Macaca fascicularis: one gene and its partners. The protein of the gene in region 3 purifies or fractionates together with the protein of the main gene of each other region. This does not show direct contact. Links are inferred from orthologs where the notes say so. Each region holds a gene or a part of one and is shown on either strand. Other genes may lie near its edges. The genes, in order: CBX1, ASF1B and CHAF1A.

Region 1 (3,575 bases), on a different chromosome or scaffold from region 3:
ATCGCTTGAACCCAGGAGACAGAGGTTGTGGTGAGCCAAGATCACACCACTGTACTCCAGCCTGGGTGACAGTGCAAGACCCTGTCTCACAAAGGAAAAAAAAAATCATAGGCAAAAAATGACATTTTAAGTCAGTGCTCAAACACGGGGCCAATTCCTGGAAAATTTTGGAGAAGTAGATTTTAGGTCATATAATCTATTACATACCAGAGGCAGGATCTAAACCTAACTTAAAAACCCATGTTTCCAAATGTACCATAGTTTGGAAGTGCTGTCAGGTCAGAGTGCTCAATAAACTTTTGGCAATACTGAAGACAGCATGATGCGACCATCTTTACAATCTCTGCAGCACCTGATAAATGCCTATTAAGTATTTACTAAATTAATATGGTGCGACCACTTAAAGATTCAGGCCAGACACTAGATTTTCAAGCCTACAGTGTTCAAGAAATAAAACCATCCAAGTGAGGAAGCCATTTCCAACAGGCTGAACCTATAAGGCAAGAAGAGTTCCTGGTAAGACTTAAGACAGAAATCAGGGATTATAAATCTATAGTTTTATTAAGACAAAAACTGACAGTGTAGTATGAAGTTTACATTTAAACAAAGTTTACACAGAAATCTAACACATGCCTAAAAGGATTTTACAATGTAGCTCTAGATGCAAGTCTAGACAATATCAAAAACTGATGGATCTCATGACTCAAGACAGAGCATTTTGGGTATCAGTTACTTCTTAGGATTTCTTAAAAAATTGTGTGTGTGTGTGTGTTTTAAAGTGAACCACTGCCCAATATGGAAGTTTAATCTTCTCCTGAGACCAAGGCTTTTGAAATCACTAAACTCTTAGATCAATTCAGTGAAACTTGTGCTGTCAGTGACTGAAGCCAACAATGGTTTCAGAGTTCAAAGCTCAAAAAAGAGAACAGCTCCAAGAGGTTTCCCCACTAAGAGCACGGGCCCTTGTCTTTCCCTACTGTCTTATCTCCTCTACCACCCTCTTCCTCTTCCCTAACACCTCAGCCAGTGGCTTGGATGAACAAGCTGATATTTATAACTTCGTTACTGGAAAAGAAAGGGTCTTCTAATTTTATTAGCACCTCTGAGACAGAATGATCTGCTTGTACTGTATACTCTCCAATAAAAGACTTTCCTCCCTCCTCATCAATTTCCATCTCCAAAATGGCAACTTTGGTAACTTATGAACTGGCTTAGTCCTTTGTGGGAACAGCAATAAGTTTAGGCAGGGAACACCTTGGCTTATAGGTTTCAGACATTCACAGCTTTTAAACAGTCTCTCACAGTCCTTATTTATGGTGCCAATGACTTTTTTTTTTTTTTTTTTTAAGGTAAAATATTCTGGACATAGAAGCAAATCATTAGTTGTCTGTTCTTTTCCATTGCTTCACCATTTCCCCTATCAGGCCCCAAATGTTAATCAAAGTGATGCTACCCATCTCCCTTTCTCCCCTCCCCATCCCTCCCCCAAATAATACACCAGTAATAGCCAAAGACTACACACATGCTACGCTGTAAAAATGCAGAGTTAACACTATTGGGAAGAAGGCTGTGGGTTGTGGAGATGCTCTTTGAAGATCTACAGTATTTTTTTGCTCTCCCACACACCCAATTCTGCAAGTTTTGTCCTTCATAGAAGGCCCTTTGCTTTTCTCAGCAAAGTGCAGAAAAGATTGCCTTGAAACACTTATCCCCTTTCCCCTCCACTGGGATGGGTGTGCAAACTATACAGCTTGAAACGGCTTTAAAGCACTTGGGCTGCTGCAGGGCACAGAAACTATACTGGCTCTTCAAAGGACATCTTCTCAAGCCACCTCTATGGTGTCAAGACAAGTAGAACTCCTTCCCTTCCCACTTGAAACCCAGTCAGATGTGACAGGGGCTGGTACTCAGGAGCGTTAATTCTTGTCATCTTTTTTGTCATCATCCTCCGAGGGGTAGGAATGCCACGTCAGCCTTTCCTCATAGAAGGATATGACAACCTGTGGGCACTTGACATTGGCTTCCTTGGCAGGGACCAGGTCAGCCTCATCAGAGTTTTTCCTGCAGAATAAAGCAAAGAGAGACTTTGAGACCAGGTGCTGGTGGTCTATCCTAAGCACTAACCCAGGGGATAGTGCTTTAAAAATAGTAATTTTATAAAATTGGCTAGGGAACAACGAAAATGTGGCCCAAGCAGCATTTACTGGCAATTTTATGTTAAGTGACATCCTCAGAGTGACATCCTCTCCTGTTGAAAATTCCCTCTTGGGATTCGTGTATGTCAAAAGTAAGGTCAATGGACTTAACCGATCACATCTGAACATCTGGGCAAGGCCCCCAAAAGCATGACTCTCTAGATTCTCTGAAGGAAGAGAGGCTATCTAGATTCTCTGAAGGAAGAGAGGCTATCTAGATTCTCTGAAGGAAGAGAGGCTATCTAGATTCTCTGAGGGAAGAGAAGATACCACACTCCTCCAAAAGCCATATCCCAGCTGGTAAGAACCCACGGAGAAATCCTGGCTTTGTCATAGGACTTTTTTTTTTTTTTTTTTTTTTTTGAGATGGAGTCTCACTCTGTTGCCCAGGCTGGAGTACAGTGGCGTGATCTCGGCTCACCACAACCTCCGCCTCCTGGGTTCAAGCGATTTTCCTGCCTCAGCCTCCCCTAGTAGCTAGGATTGTAGGTGCACACCACCATGCCCGGCTAATTTTTATATTTTTAGTAGAGATGGGGTTTTGCCATCTTTACGAAAGATATTGGCCAGGCTCATCTTGAACTCCTGACCTCAGGTGATCCACCTGCCTCAGCCTCCCAAAGTGGGATTACAGGCATGAGCCACCACGCCCGGCCTGTAATAGGATTAAATACCACATCTGGCATTGGCCAGAGCAAATGAAGGTGGACACATTTTTGCATAATCGTAATTACACTGACACTTCCAAATGCTATCCTCACACAACTTCCAGGTGCTTTGAAATGATGTTTCAACATTGGGAGGTAGGAAATGAGGGAGCTGTATTTTTCTAAATTTTAAAATGTTTTCAAAATTTGAAAATCACACACATTATAAGGGAATTAGGAGTAAACTCTGAGGCCGGGAGCAGTAGCTCATGCCTATAATCCCAGCACTTTGGGAGGCCAAGGTGGGCAGGCCCAGGAGTTCGAGACCAGCCTGGTCAACATGGCAAAACCCCGTTGCTACTAAAAATACAAAAATTAGCCAGGCATGGTGGCGTGTGCCTGTAATTCCAGCTACTCGGGAGGCTGAGGCACAAGAATAGCTTGAACCTGGGAGGTGGAGGTTGTAGTGAACATAGATCACCCCACTGCACTCCAGCCTGGGTGACACAGCGAGACTCTGTCTCATTTAAAAAAAAAAACAAAAAAAACCCCAAAAACTATTGTCTTCAGGTTACTAGGCATGTCCTAGACAGAAGCAGTAGCATAAGGCAAGTAGGAGACACCTGATGAGATCTCTGACAAAGCACCACCCCAAATCTCCAAAACCTCAACAACAGGAAACCAGAGCCACACAGTCCCATGGAGCAGAAGAGTAAGCTGATAACCTATGTTT
Region 2 (3,321 bases), about 9.4 Mb from region 3:
AATACAAGATGTGGCTGGGCGCAGTGGCTCACACCTGTAATCCCACCACTTTGGAAGGCTGAGGCAGGCAGATCACTTGAAGTCAGGAGTTGGATACCAGCTTGGCCAACATGGTGAAACCCCATCTCTACTAAAAATACAAAAAAAAGCCGGGTACAGTGGCTCACACTTGTCATCCCAGCATTTTGGGAGGCCAAGGCGGGTGGATCACCTGAGGTCAGGAGTTCTAAACCAGCCTGACCAACATGGTGAAACCCTCTCACTAAAAATACAAAAATTAGCCAGGCATGGTGGCAGGCGCCTATAATCACAGCTACTCGGGAGGCTGAGACAGGAGAATCACTTGAACCTGGGAGGCAGAGATTGTAGTGAGCCGAGATCACACCATTGCACTGCAGCCTGGGTGACGAGTGAAATTCCATCTCAAAAAAGAAAAAAAAAATTAGCTAGGTGTGGCAGTAGGCACCTATAATCCCAGCCACTCGGGAGGCCGAGGTACAAGAATCACTTGAATCTGGGAGGCGGAGGTTGCAGTGAGTCGAGATCGCATCACTGTACTCTAGCCTGGATGACAGAATGAGACTCCATCTCAAAAAAGAAAAATGAGGCCGAGCGCGGTGGCTCAAGCCTGTAATCCCAGCACTTTGGGAGGCCGAGACGGGCGGATCACGAGGTCAGGAGATCGAGACCATCCTGGCTAACACAGTGAAACCCCGTCTCTACTAAAAATACAAAAACTTAGCCGGGCGAGGTGGCAGGCGCCTGTAGTCCCAGCTACTCTGGAGGCTGAGGCAGGAGAATGTCGTGAACCCGGGAGGCGGAGCTTGCAGTGAGCTGAGATCCGGCCACTGCACTCCAGCCTGGGTGACAGAGCGAGACTCCGTCTCAAAAAAAAAAAAAAAGAAAAAAAAAAGAAAAATGAATACAAGAGCCTTTCCCTGCCTTGTTGCTGTTGAGCTATTTCAATTCATTAACCCTCCTATGTCTTTGCAGACCTGGAGTGGAAGATCATTTATGTTGGCTCCGCTGAGAGTGAGGAGTTTGATCAGATCCTAGACTCGGTGCTGGTGGGCCCTGTACCAGCAGGGAGACACATGTTTGTCTTTCAGGTAAGAAAGATGAGGCCTTAGGCCTTTAGCTCTTGACTCCTAGAAACATCTTCTTTTACCTGAAATCCCACAGAGTGCTTCAGGAATCAAAAGTTCAAGTTCAGCTGGGCACAGAGGCTCACGCCTATAGACCCAGCTACTCCAGGGGCTGAGGTGAGAGGATTGCTTGAGCCCAGGAGTCCGAGCCTGCAGTGAACTATGATTGAGCCACTGCACTCCAGCCTAGACAACACAGTGAGACCCTGTCTCTAAAAAAAGGAAAAAACAAGTATTAAAAAAACAGAGGCCGGGTACAGTGGCTCACACCTGTAATCCCAGCACTTTGGGAGGCCAAGGTGGCAGGACTGCTTGAGGCCAGGAGTTTGAGACCAGCCTGGGCAATATAGTGAGACCCCAGCTCTACAAAAAACTTAAAAATCAGCAGAGCATAGTGGTGTACGCCTGTAGTCTCAGCCACTTGGGAGGCTGAAATGGGAGGATCACTTGAACCTGGGAGGTGGAAGCTACAGTGAGCCAAGACCACACCGTTGCACTCCAGCCTGGGTAATACAGTGAGACTCTGTCTCAAAAAAAAAAAAAAAGAAAAGAGTTGAGACCCTGTGTCAATCAATCAATTAAAAAAAAATTTTAAAGTTCAGGTTCAAATCCTAGTTCTACTGTCAGGAACTATCTGACCTCTCAGAGGCTCTCAGGCCCTCCCTTCCCCCACCTCTGTGTCAAAGCTGCCACTGATTTACAGTCAATTCTCGTTATTCACAAGAGTTATGTTCTATAAAGTTGCCGCGAACACTGATTTAGTGAGTACTGAACCATTGCCCCAGGGTAAATACAAGCTTAGATTGTTGGAAGTCACGTTTTCGTCAGCCAGTCAATACGTAAACTTGTATGTGTGTTGCTGTTGAAAGACACCAGGCCGGGTATGGTGGCACACACCTATAATCCCAGCACTTTGAGAGGCTGAGGTGGGTGGATCGCCTGAGGTCAGGGGTTCGAGACCAGCCTGGCCAACATGGTGAAACCGTATCTATACTAAAAATACAGAAATTAGCCAGGTGTGGTGGGAGAATCGCTTGAACCCGGGAGGTGGAGATTGCAGTGAGCTGAGATCACACCGGTACACTCCAGCCTGTGTGATATAGCGAGAGACTTATCTCAAAAAAAAAGAAAAAAAAGACACCTTATTTAATATATACTGTGGTTCATTTATGTTGAATTCACAGCCAACAGCACTGTAACTCTCCTGAATGAAGCTTCTCTAATACACATTTTTTCCATAAGGCCTTTTTTGCACCCTACACTGCACTTCAGCACTACCTTTGGGTGCCATCATAGACAGCAAACTCACCAACAAAAAGCACAAAACATGGAAAAAAGGTAGCACTAAGTAGGCTGAGGAAAGGATGCTCATTCACAGTAAGAACTGAGACCAAAAGACAGAGCGTTGCCTTGTTTGACCTCAGGTAGGAACAGGCGTGGTAGGTAACTCTAGCTTTTCCCTGTTCTGTGCATGTCTGCAAGTGACCGTGGAAGCACCGCAGGTATTCATCTTGGGGTTACAAATAAATGTAGCAGGTAGGTGAACTTGCACATATGGACCCCATGAATAATGAATGAGGATAGACCGTAACTCCTAAGTGGCTCTCATGCAGCACCCTGCCTGAGTTGTCAAATGTAGATTCTGGCTGGGTGTGGTGGCTTCCAGCACTTTGGGAGGCAGAGGCAGGAGGATTGCTTAAGGCCAGGAGTTCCAGACCAGCCTGGCCACATAGCAAGACCCCCATCTCTAGAAAAAATAAAAACAATTAGCTGGGTGTAGGCTGGGCACGGTGGCTCACGCCTGTAATCCCAGCACTTGGGGAGGCCGAGGCGGGCGGATCATGAAGTCAGGAGATGGAGACCATCCTGGCTAACACGGTGAAACACCGTCTGTACTAAAAAATACAAAATAATTAGCTGGGTGTGGTGGCGGGCGCCTGTAGTCCCAGCTACTTGGGAGGCTGAGGCAGGAGAATGGCGTAAACCCTGGAGGCAGAGCTTGCAGTGAGCCAAGATCATGCCACTGCACTCCAGACTGGGAGAGAGAGAGCAAGACTCCGTAACAAAAAAAAAAAAAAAAAAAAAAAAAAGGCTGGGGGCGGTGGCTCATGCCTGTAATCCCAACACTTTGGGAGTCCAAGATGGGTGGATCACTTGAGGTCAGGAGTTCAAGACC
Region 3 (3,650 bases):
ACAAAAAATTAGCTGGGTGTGGTGGCATGCACCTGTAGTCCCTCTCAGCTACACAGGAGGCTGAGGCGGGAGAATCGCCTGAGACTGGGGAGGTCAAGGCTGCAGTGAGTGGTGATCTTACCACTGCACTACAGCCTAGGCAACAGAGTAAGACTCCCGACTCAAAAAACACAACAAAACAAAACAAAACAAAAAAAAAAAAAAAGAGAGAAACTCAGTTACGAACAGTGTGATAAGGACAAAAAGTATGCAATGAATGTTACTAAAGCTGATCTATGGCCAGGGGTGGGTGCCAGGGGCCACTGGCTCTATGGGCATGGGAGTTTTTTCCTAAGATCAGGCAGTGCCCCCACCACACACCCCATGGCTCCATGCACTTGTGCCTCTGAGGCACCCATGAGGCTGGAATCACACAGCCATTCATTCCCCTTACAGGCTCCTGTCTGTGGCTTACACTGGGCGGCGTTGTGCATATCCCTGTGTCTGAAAGACCGATCAGAGTGCCTGGCACACAGTAAGTGCTTAATAACTGTGCTTGAATGCAAAATTCAAGAACCGTTGAACAAAAATAAAAATGCTACCACATGGGATATTATTCGGTGTGAAAAAAAAATGAGCTATCAAGCCACGAACAGACATGGGGGAACTGTCAATGCATACTGCCAAGTGAAAGGAGCCACACGCGGTGCGATTCCAGCTACGGGGCAATCTGGAAAAGGCCGGTCCACGGAGACAGAGAGGTTGGCGATTTCCAGGGGACTGGACGGACAGAGCACAGGGGCCTTTCGGCAGGGAGAGGCCTCTTTGTTCAGAACAATAAAGGTGGACGCACAGCATCCAACATCCATTCAAATCACAGAACCCTCTACACCAGGAACCAACCCTAACAGAGACCGTAGACTCTGGGTGGTGGTGATTTTATGTATTTATTTTTAGAGACAGGGTCTCGCGGTCGCCCAGGTTGCAGTGCAGTGGCATGATCATAGCTCACTGCAGCCTCAATCTCCTAGCCTCCAGCAATCCTCCCGCCTTAGTCTCCTGAGTAGCTGAGACTACAGATGCATGCCACCGCCACTGCTTGGCTAATTTTAAAATTTTTTCTTATAGAGATGGAGTTTTGTCATGTTGCCCAGGCTGGTCTCCAACTCCCAGGCTCAAGTGATCCTCCCACCTCGGCCTCCCAAAGTGCTGGGATAACAGGCTTAAGCCACAGTGCCCGGCCTGAGTGCAATGACTGTAACCAGTCCACTGCTCTGGAAGGTGATGTTGGTAACGCGTGGCTTGGCTTGGCTTTGGGGAAGGAGGTGTATGGGAACTTTCTGTACCTTCCAATCCATTTTGCTGTGACCCTAAAACTGCTCTAAGAGTAGTTTTAGGCTGGGCACAGTGGCTCAAGCCTGTAATCCCAGCACTTTGGGAGGCCGAGATGGGCGGATCACGAGGTCAGGAGATCGAGACCATCCTGGCTAACACGGTGAAACCCCATCTCTAAAAAATACAAAAAAACTGGCCAGGAGAGGTGGCAGGCGCCTGTTGTCCCAGCTACTCGGGAGGCTGAGGCAGGAGAATGGCGTAAACCCGGGAGGCGGAGCTTGCAGTGAGCCAAGATCTGGCCACTGCACTCCAGTCTGGGTGACAGAGCGAGACTCCGTCTCAAAAAAAAAAAAAAAGTAGTTTTAAAAAAACACAAAAGCGCCGGGCGAGGTGGCTCACGCCTGTAATCCCAGCACTTTGGGAGGCCAAGGCAGGTGGATCACGAAGTCAGGAGTTTGAGACCAGCCTGATCAACATGGTGAAACCCTGTCTCTACTAAAAATACAAAAATTAGCCAGGTGTGGTGGTGCACACCTGTAATCCCAGCTACTCAGGAGGCTGAGGCAGGAGAATCGCTTGAACCCGGGAGGTAGAGGTTGCAGTGAGCCGAGATCGCACCACTGCACTCCAGCCTGGGTGACACAGAGCAAGACTACATTTCAAAAATAAAACAAAACAACAAAAAACAAACAAAGAAAACCGCCCCCAGGGGCACCCACTGCCCGCCCCGCCTCACCTGGCCGTCGTGCCTGCGCTTCTTCATGAATTGGGTGATGCACATGCTGCCCGCTGACTTCCTCTTCAGTGAGATGGGAGTGCCCTGGCTGGGTCCCGTGGAGGGGACGCTGCCACTGTCCTCTCTGGGGGCCGAGGGCACTGAGGTCACGTAGCTCCACTGGCATGGCACGGGCAGGTGCTCCTGCTGGAAGCTCTGTAGCACCTGCGGGTGCACGTACCAGCACATCCTGAAGTCGGGCCGCTTCTCGTACACTGAGTTCTCGGAAATGAGCCGCTTGAGCCGGGACTTAGAGGGGATGGCAGCGTCCTCGCTGGTGGTGTGCAGGCAGGTAGCAGAGGGGCTTGGGGGGCTGCCGGTGTGCTTGCTGAGCAGTCCCCGGCGGCAGTGCTCCTGGAACTCCCGGATGATGACCTTGCTCCCGTTCACGTTGCCATGCAGGAGCGGCAGCAGCTGGGCCAGGACTGGCGGGAGGGAACATGGACGGGCATGAGGTTTGGGGAGCCACCTATCACCACAGGCCAAAAACCAAAACACACACAGCTCCTCCTCGCCACTGAGGCTCCGGGCATGGCCAGCTTCAGGGATAGGTGGCCTCATGAGGGCGGTCGTAAGACAGGGCAGCACCCACGCACCTGCCCAGAAGTGAGCCTTGGCTGGGCACATGCGTTGCCAGGGCTGACTTCAAATGCCTGCTGTTCCTACCCAAATGGCAGCCCTGCTCTCCTTGTGTGCCATAGTCCCTCCCCAGTTTTTTGAGTTTTTTTTTTTTTTTTTTTTTTAAGATGGGGTCTCGCTCTGTCACCCAGGCTGGAGTGCAGTGGCAGTATCATGGCTCACTGTAGTCTGGAACTCCTAGGCTCAAGCAATCCTCCCACCTCAGCCTCATGAGCAGCTGGGATCACAGGTGCATGAGACCATGCCCAGGTAATTTTGTATTTTCTGCAAAGATGAAGTTTTGCCATGTTGCCCAGGCTGGTGTCGAAGCACTAGGCTCAAGCGATCCTCCCACCTTGGCCTCCCAAAGTGCTGGAATCACAGTCTTGAGCCACTGTGCCCGGCCCCTCCCTGGCTTTTGAGAAAGCGTAGCCCCCACTCCAGCACACTCTGCGCCTGAGTCCTGGTTGATAAAACAAGCCTGGACCTGCCTCGTCCTGCCGCTGGGGACATCATCGAATGTACGGATGTGTGCGGGAAGAGGGCTGGCCTCTGTTATTTGTGGAAAGAACATTTGCATCATGGACCCACTAGCCTGTGAGACTCTTGCCCTCAGCCTTGAAATTAGCTGGGCCCAGGAACAGGTGGGTGGCCTGGCCACGCCCCTGAGAAGGGGAGGCCCTGCCTGAAGCCCCACCCACACTCACTCTGCTGGTCTCTGTTCTCCCGCTTGGAGGCCTTGGAGGCCTTGGGCGTCTGCTCCTCCTGGACAGGCACGGTCTCCAGGAAGCAGGCTGCGAACTGCTGCAGTACCTTCAGGTCGTCGCCTGCGCAGTCTCTGTCAGCTGCCCACACGCAGCCAATCTTGACGGGCTGCAGGACGCGAAAGCGCTTCCCCTTAGCCAGGAACTCGTCCCACTCCTTGGCCTTCAGTTTCTGGCGG

The links.
Region 1: the proteins of CHAF1A (region 3) and CBX1 purify together in Homo sapiens (affinity purification with mass spectrometry; 4 studies listed by BioGRID and IntAct, with this or other methods). This does not show direct contact. The link is inferred for Macaca fascicularis from reciprocal best matches to the Homo sapiens genes CHAF1A and CBX1.
Region 2: the proteins of CHAF1A (region 3) and ASF1B purify together in Homo sapiens (co-immunoprecipitation; 7 studies listed by BioGRID and IntAct, counting the BioPlex papers as one, with this or other methods). This does not show direct contact. The link is inferred for Macaca fascicularis from reciprocal best matches to the Homo sapiens genes CHAF1A and ASF1B.

Annotation. Positions count from the first base shown.
Region 1 is NC_088390.1:58,660,153-58,663,727, reverse strand, and holds the end of CBX1 (chromobox protein homolog 1), read right to left. Parts: intron 2,062-3,575; coding exon 1,917-2,061; 3' UTR 543-1,916; downstream 1-542. UniProt on the Homo sapiens protein: Component of heterochromatin. Recognizes and binds histone H3 tails methylated at 'Lys-9', leading to epigenetic repression. Interaction with lamin B receptor (LBR) can contribute to the association of the heterochromatin with the inner nuclear membrane.
Region 2 is NC_088393.1:14,543,139-14,546,459, reverse strand, and holds part of ASF1B (histone chaperone ASF1B), read left to right. Parts: intron 1-993; coding exon 994-1,109; intron 1,110-3,321. UniProt on the Homo sapiens protein: Histone chaperone that facilitates histone deposition and histone exchange and removal during nucleosome assembly and disassembly. Cooperates with chromatin assembly factor 1 (CAF-1) to promote replication-dependent chromatin assembly.
Region 3 is NC_088393.1:5,174,158-5,177,807, reverse strand, and holds part of CHAF1A (chromatin assembly factor 1 subunit A), read right to left. Parts: coding exon 3,415-3,650; intron 2,515-3,414; coding exon 2,051-2,514; intron 586-2,050; exon of another isoform or gene 436-585; intron 1-435. UniProt on the Homo sapiens protein: Acts as a component of the histone chaperone complex chromatin assembly factor 1 (CAF-1), which assembles histone octamers onto DNA during replication and repair.